Danio rerio: one gene and its partner. The protein of the gene in region 2 purifies or fractionates together with the protein of the main gene of each other region. This does not show direct contact. Links are inferred from orthologs where the notes say so. Each region holds a gene or a part of one and is shown on either strand. Other genes may lie near its edges.

Region 1 (4,001 bases), on a different chromosome or scaffold from region 2:
TATTTTAAGAGACTTACTTTGAAATAAGGTCATATTCATTCATGTATTTAATAACAAACAGCACATTTATAACAGTATTATTGATCTTTGTTACATTTTAGTTGATAGAAATACAGTTTTTCATAGTTCACTCAGTACATTAACTAATCCTAACAAGAATGAATTTGCATTTTAATAATAATCTAGTAAATCTGTGATTAATAAATGATGCACAATTATTGTTCATTATTAGATCATGTTGGTAAATACATTACTTAATGAAAACTTTAAGTGCAACCATTATAATAGAGCATATATGAGTAAAATATCTCACAGATCTCTCTTTTGAATTCATATTTTCTCTAGGAAGCTTTACAATATTATATTATAGATTATTCAGTACCGAAATCTGGAGCTTATCTAACAAAATAACTTATGATAACACTCCAAAAAAAAAACAAATGTATATACTAGGGGAAAATATTACATACACATTGAAAAAATAAATCTAAAATAATATTATATACAAAATAAACAAATAAATATATACAATTTTGTTGAAATTTTTGTAGTTTGTAATTGTTTTTGCATGTTTTATCTTTCTATTACTACAGATGTTCAGTGACTAAAATATTATTTCAATACATATATCTGTTTAATAAATCTGTTTTGGTCAAATGCACCAAAATATGACATATATTCACTGAGAAATTGATAAAAATATTCATTTTGCAAACTCATTTATGCCGAGCACTGTATACTCCTATTGCATAAATACTGAAACTTCCCAACCTATACATCTAAAAGAAACTCACCGATTTTTCACCAGCAGGTGGTGTTGTTTTTTTGGGTGGAGGTGGGCTGTCTGACACATCTGCTGTTGTTTTTGTAGGGCTCTGGATCTGCTGGGCTCTTTTGGAGGGTTTGGATCTGGACGTGTCCTCCGTGAACTTCACACTGTAAGGATACTGCTGATTGACCATGTAGAGTCTCTGACCCGGCTTTATGCTCACCTGCTTGCAGAGGTGGGCGACATTTGGTTTGTGTGATGTTAAGCAGACCAGAGACCTGTGCAATACAGCCTCAATTACAAGACAACCGGACAATTATCGACACAGCTGGTTTGCTAGAAGCTGAATAAAATAATAATTGCATCTTATCAGATATTAAAAAAAAAATAAAAAATACTTGGCATTTTAGATGTTGTAAATGTGTTCATAGAATATTTTATCGAAGCAAATACTACTGTTTATGTGTCTGATGTTTATAATAATAATGTACAATTTTCATTTTTACTTTGCCTTGTGTTAACTTAATAAAACTTGTATTAAAATTACATATATTATACCATTATATTTATATATATATATATATATATATATATAAATATATATATATATATGTACATACATACATAGATATACATACATAAATACATATAAATATATCTATACACACACACACACACACACACACATACATATATATATATATATATATATATATATATATATATATATACACACACACACACACACACACACACACACACACACACACACTACCTCAAAAAAATCTTGTCTTGTATCCAAGTTAAGTAATAATTTGACTTATAGTTGATCATTTAGTATCACAATTGGTTTGTATGAAAGGCAAATGACTCTAAATTATGATTATTTTACCAAAATAAAATATGATCATGCCTTGATTTTTAATGATTTCATTAGGACAGTAAGGTCTGACTTTGCTTAGACAACAGTCTTGTCACTTAACAGAAATAATGTACAGTATAGAATATAAAGTCATGCTGTTACTGTGAATTAACAAACAGGACATATTGGAAGTCTGCTCAAGTCTAGGATAATGACTATACAAAATTTTGCATTTTAAGCAACAGTAGAGCTACACATGGGTCTATAATTGTTGTTGTTGTTTTACCATATGTTTAATAATAGGCTAAACTTATTAACCTTTATTTTACATTTACAGAATCGTGAGAAAATCGTGATCTTGATTTTAAGCAAAAAAAAATTTTAAAAATTGTGATTCACATTTTTGCCAGAATCGTGCAGCCCTAGTCCGTATATTAAATACTTTTTCAGAATATTTTAAAAACACTGTACCTGATTGCCTTTGCCCACAACCACATCATCCACAAGTGTCGGATTCACACCCAGCTATTAAAAACATCAAATAAACAGGTTCAAACGTTATTACGTTTTATAAATTAACTTCTAAAAGGCTGTTATAATAAAATATCTGGTTCAAATCCATTTTGGTGAGTAACAAGTATTTTAATTTATTATTAAAGGAGAAAGTCAAAATATAAAACCAACTTTACACCAAGAAATAAACTTTTTTTTGTGGTATTGAAAACTAATTTGCATTATTTGACATATATTTCAGCTCAGTATATATTGTATTAATATTTGCTTTGATATTATAATTCTCCAGCAGACCTGTTTAACAGTGACAAATCCCCTGTTGCAATCAGCTCTCAATTCAACTGCAAAAAAGAAAAGACGTTGTATTTCTAAAATAAAGAGGCCGTTTTTTTATTTGCTTTTTATATGCAAAAATACCTTGTTCTCTAGAGCACTTCTTGTCTTTTATCTTAGTGTCTGGTCCTCGACCCAGAGTCACAGACTGTTGGTGATGGAGCTCAATGGGTTTGTGTGAATTATCTTCACTTACTAGTAAACACACAGGCATCTCCTGAAAACACACACCATATTACACGTTATAATGCTATTGCGTATACATATAGTCTACGGTGCTTTTCTAAAACCCACTTATGTTCGTTACTTACTGTGTTAGTGTAATAAAGCTACGGTAGAAAAAAGTGTGGTAGTCGTAAACATAAAAGTGCAACACATGACGCTCGCTCGCTCGCTCTTGTTCGTTGGTGTCAACAAACAGCACGTCATGCGCGCTTGCTGCCAACTACTGGCTGAAAGATGACGTGAACTAATCTTACCTAGGTGCCTAACAGATAATGTTAATACAAAAAAGATGATGTTAATTCAAAAAGTAGAATTTTAAAAAAGATATTAAAATAAATACAATTACACATATAATATAATCTAAAAATATAAGTAAAAATTAAAATTGTACACGATACAATTACACTTAAGGGCACAAGGCAAGGAGAGCAAACCAGAGTTGTGCAGATGCAAAACAGTATAAAGAGGAAAAAGTACACTATAATGCAAAGTATATAGTATAAAAGGCTTGTACATATGATGAGTATTATAAAGTGACAGTGTCTTAATAATATATAGGAATGTAGTATGAGGTATCTAGCAGATGTAGATGTATACACGTCAGATTTAGTGGAGTTTGTGGACAGATTTCCTGTAACTACACTTTAAAAATAATATAACATCACTTTATGGAGTTTAATTTTATAGAGTATAGAATAGTGTTACTTAATGCAGACAGTTTAAACGCTCCTACTGTTGATTTATTTGGATTTTGTTTTTATTTTAAGGCAAGTAATTATTCACTCATTCATTTTCTTTTCGGCTTATTCTCTTTCATAATCAGGGGTCGCCACAGCGGAATGAACCGCCAACTTATCCAGCATATGTTTTACTCAGCGGTACTACCCATGGTTACTACCCATCTCTGGGAAACATCCATACACACTCATTCACACACATACACTATGATCAGATTTAGCATATCCAGGTCACCTGTACCACATGTCTTTGGACTGTCAAGATACCCCACACGAACAGGGGGAGAACAAGCAAACTCCACAGAAATGCCAACTGATTCAGGCGAGACTGAACCAGCAACCTTCTTGCTGTGAGGCGAACATGCTACCCACTGCACCATCGTTTAGTTCACCACAAGTTATTATGTTCCTAATAAATAATAAATTGATAAAAAAAATAGCCGACCACTTTTTATTTTATTTTTATTAAAAAATGATATTTTATTGTAGCAAATTACACAACAACATCCCTAGACAGTTAGTGAATCCATTTTATATTGTTTTAATAAATAATACAATTTTA
Region 2 (3,568 bases):
TACCTTAAATTGTACTTGTTTGTATCTAAGAAGTTCATATTAATAAATGTTCTTTTTGAACCCCTTGAGGAGAACCACCCCATGACCCCGTTTTGTGTATATTACCACTACTGTAAGAAAATATCAGCATTCGGTACATACTTTCAGTATTACCTTTGCTTAAAATTACCCAATCTAATCCTGTTTATATAAAATAAGCCTGCTCCTGAGCAGGTTTGAGCTACCAGAACTGTTGCTCTGACAACAACTCTCAGATGAGTTTTTAAGAACGAAACGATCCTGGATTGTGTCATCGTCAGTAACCAAATCCATAAGTGAGTAATTCATGTACGAACAACGGACCCCAGGTCCAATACGTAGTGGCCATTGTAACACCCACTAAGGTAACACCCACACTACTGTGACAGTTGGTATTGGGGGAGGTGTAGACCAGGGGTGGCCAACCCTGTTCCTGGAGAGCCACGTTCCTGCAGATTTCAGTTGCAACCCATATCAAACACACCTGCCTGTAATTATCCTGTGGTGTTCAGGTCCTAATTAATTGGTTCAGGTGTGTTTGATATGGGTAGCAACTGAAATCTGCAGGAAGGTGACTCTCCAGGAACAGGGTTGGCCACCTCTGGTGTAGACGATTGTCCAGGACGTCATCAAGTTGTGGGCTGCAGCGAGGACTGTCTCAATTTACATGCATAAACTACATTTGAAAAACATAATATTTTGTCATACTGAAAAATTGATGTTAAGTTGAGCACATTGCATTTTGTGAGCAGTAGTCAACAGTAGTCTGTTGTGTATTGCACATTTTGAAAGTACTAAAATGTCATAGAAAAAGTGCATACTTCACACAGTAAATCTACTGTAAAAACAGTTAATGAGGTGATAAGCCAGTCCAGTGGCTGGTCAAAATAATCTATGTATTGTGAATTGCTTTCAGAAACAAAAGTGCTGTATGTTTGTGCTTGTTGAATAGTTCATGCTACATCTGGGCTTTCTTTTGTTTTAGGGCCTTTATGAACCAGGAAAACGCCACTGGCTGAAGGTGAAGAAAGACTATCTGAATGAAGGAGCGATGGCGGACACTGCTGATCTTGTGGTGCTTGGAGCCTTCTATGGCAAAGGCTCAAATGGTCAGCATCAGCCATCAAGTCCATTTTCAGTCCAGATTTGTATTTATCTATTTATTTTTTGATGGGCTGGGCATTATTATGTTTCTTTTTCAGGTGGAATTATGTCCAGTTTCCTCATGGGCTGCTATGACCCGGAATCCAGGAAGTGGTGCACCGTTACCAAGTGTTCAGGAGGCTTCGACGACGCCATGTTAGACAGACTGCAGAAAGATTTGGACGTGATTAAAATTGGCAAGGTAAATCTCATCATTTAATCAGTCGTTTTCCTCTTTTGAGATGTGTAAAAGTTGCATGTTGTAAGTTTCCTGTTTATCTCGTCATCGTCGCAGGATCCAAGCAAGATCCCAGGATGGTTGAAGATTGTCAAGAACTATTACCCAGATTTCATTATCCGAGATCCACAAGTAAGACTGAGAAAATCCTCCTCCTAATAAGACCAAAGGGATGCGTAATGTTTATGTGCTTGTAATGTGAAGTGAGTTTGATGAGACTGTGTTAAAAGCCTGGTTACAGTTGAGTGTGAGATCGAAAGACGGCAATGAAGGATCTTTATTGGCTTGTTATCTTTTTAAGCCAGATGAATGTGTTAAATAGGCCATACAACTCTTAAGTGTTATGAGTGGTGTTTGCTATTGTTAGGATGAATATATCTTGTGGTTCGATACCTACAGAAAGCACCAGTGTGGGAAATCACAGGAGCAGAGTTTTCTAAATCTGAAATGCACACTGCTGATGGCATATCCATCCGATTCCCACGATGCACCCGAATGCGTGATGACAAGGACTGGAAGACGGCAACTAACCTTCAGCAGCTCAAGGTACTTTTAATTATCAAATTATATTTCCTTAGACAAATGTATAGATATGGAATTTTTATTAAAATTATTTAAAATTGTATTTTTTATTGTATATGCAGTGCTTAGCATATTTGAGTACACCCCATTTTGAGAATGAAAATTTTAGCCATTTCTCAGTGAATATGGGTAATATATTGATGCATTTGAACAAAACAGATTTATTAAACAGATATATATATTAAAGTAATATTTTACTCTCAGAGCATCTTTAGAAATGAAAAGATAATGCAATTAAATTCATGCAAATGTTAATGTTGCAAAAAAAAAAAATTGTTTAAATTGTCGGGCTGTGCAATTAATCCGAATTCAGTTTCGATTCAATTTTGTCTTCTAACGATTATGAAAAAGATTAACCTTTATTTATGTAATAAACAAATGAGTTGAGAATCAAAAGACATGTAAAAGTGAAACTTTCCACGTGCCATTTATTTATTTTCTTCAACATAAGTTCCATATTAGGCCTAAGGGCACAGGTATGGCTATAATAATAATGAGCCAAATACAGTAGCTTACCTTGTCATCACTGGGGTTGACAGGCATTTTGCTGATAAACTTTCTAAAATCCGGCAATAAATACAGCTTAGCATAAATCTGCAGATGTTTTTTTTACAAAATTCAGCAGAAATGGCAAAAAATGTCTGCAGATTCTGTCTGGCCCTACTTATAATTTAAAACGTCCATAATGACGCTCTAAACGGGGTGGGGTAACAACTTCTTTATACACCTTAAGTACACTTAAATTGTCAAAACTCTTCTTTTGGATGTGATTTATTTTCATCGATCTTTTATTTATTGTTTATTTTTTATATTTAACATTTTTGAGATGTTTTTTAATATATTATTTGAAGTATGTCCTATTAGATTTTGCTAATACTGAAGAAAGTCTTGCTTTAAATGGAATAATAATAATAATATTAAGAGCCCCTTAAGAAATTATTTATTCCTTTTGTTAGATTAATTATTACAGAGCAAACCACTGTTGTCCAATGAATTGCTTGAACTAACTTATTTAACGCAATAAACCTAGTAAATAAACTGAATACTATTATCCTGTATAATATTGTGTGCTTTGTTTAAAGTGACTTGTTCTTCCTCTATTCATTTGAGTGTTTTGTATTTAGGAAACATTGAAATGTAAGAACTCTTAGACTTTTTCTTTTTTTTTCTTTTCTTTTCAGGAGCTATATCGCATCTCAAAGGAGAATTGTGATTTTGAGGTGACCGCTGGTCCATCCAAAGCGAACCAAAATGACAAGAGCTCCTCAGGAGGTGAGAGCGGAGGAAGCTCTCCATCTGCATCTCGCGGAGCATCCACAGCTAACAAACCCAGTGAGCAACAAGAGCTTATAAGGAACAGATTTTGTTTGGTCTGTAGCAACTTCAGCATCATAAGAGTACCATTAATGTTCTTTAATTGTTCTTTAATTGTTCTAACTGTTTAGAAAATGGTCATACCCCCAAAGCAAAGGCTGCGAAAACAGAATCATCTGCTCCGGCAGTTAAGAGGAAACTACCAGCTGAGAAACAAGATGTTAAGAAGGTTTGTGATCTGATAACACGTATGTGTACACCATATGTGTAGCA

Evidence for each region.
Region 1: the proteins of lig3 (region 2) and aptx purify together in Homo sapiens (affinity purification with mass spectrometry; 3 studies listed by BioGRID and IntAct, with this or other methods). This does not show direct contact. The link is inferred for Danio rerio from reciprocal best matches to the Homo sapiens genes LIG3 and APTX.

What each region holds. Positions count from the first base shown.
Region 1 is NC_133176.1:55,999,086-56,003,086, forward strand, and holds the start of aptx (aprataxin), read right to left. Parts: upstream 2,856-4,001; 5' UTR 2,789-2,855; intron 2,719-2,788; exon of another isoform or gene 2,695-2,718; 5' UTR 2,692-2,694; coding exon 2,562-2,691; intron 2,486-2,561; coding exon 2,439-2,485; intron 2,157-2,438; coding exon 2,103-2,156; intron 1,301-2,102; exon of another isoform or gene 1,048-1,300; coding exon of another isoform or gene 993-1,047; coding exon 795-992; intron 1-794. UniProt on the Homo sapiens protein: DNA-binding protein involved in single-strand DNA break repair, double-strand DNA break repair and base excision repair.
Region 2 is NC_133180.1:66,752,173-66,755,740, forward strand, and holds part of lig3 (DNA ligase 3), read left to right. Parts: intron 1-1,003; coding exon 1,004-1,127; intron 1,128-1,220; coding exon 1,221-1,363; intron 1,364-1,456; coding exon 1,457-1,531; intron 1,532-1,798; coding exon 1,799-1,945; intron 1,946-3,162; coding exon 3,163-3,313; intron 3,314-3,426; coding exon 3,427-3,524; intron 3,525-3,568. UniProt on the Homo sapiens protein: Isoform 3 functions as a heterodimer with DNA-repair protein XRCC1 in the nucleus and can correct defective DNA strand-break repair and sister chromatid exchange following treatment with ionizing radiation and alkylating agents.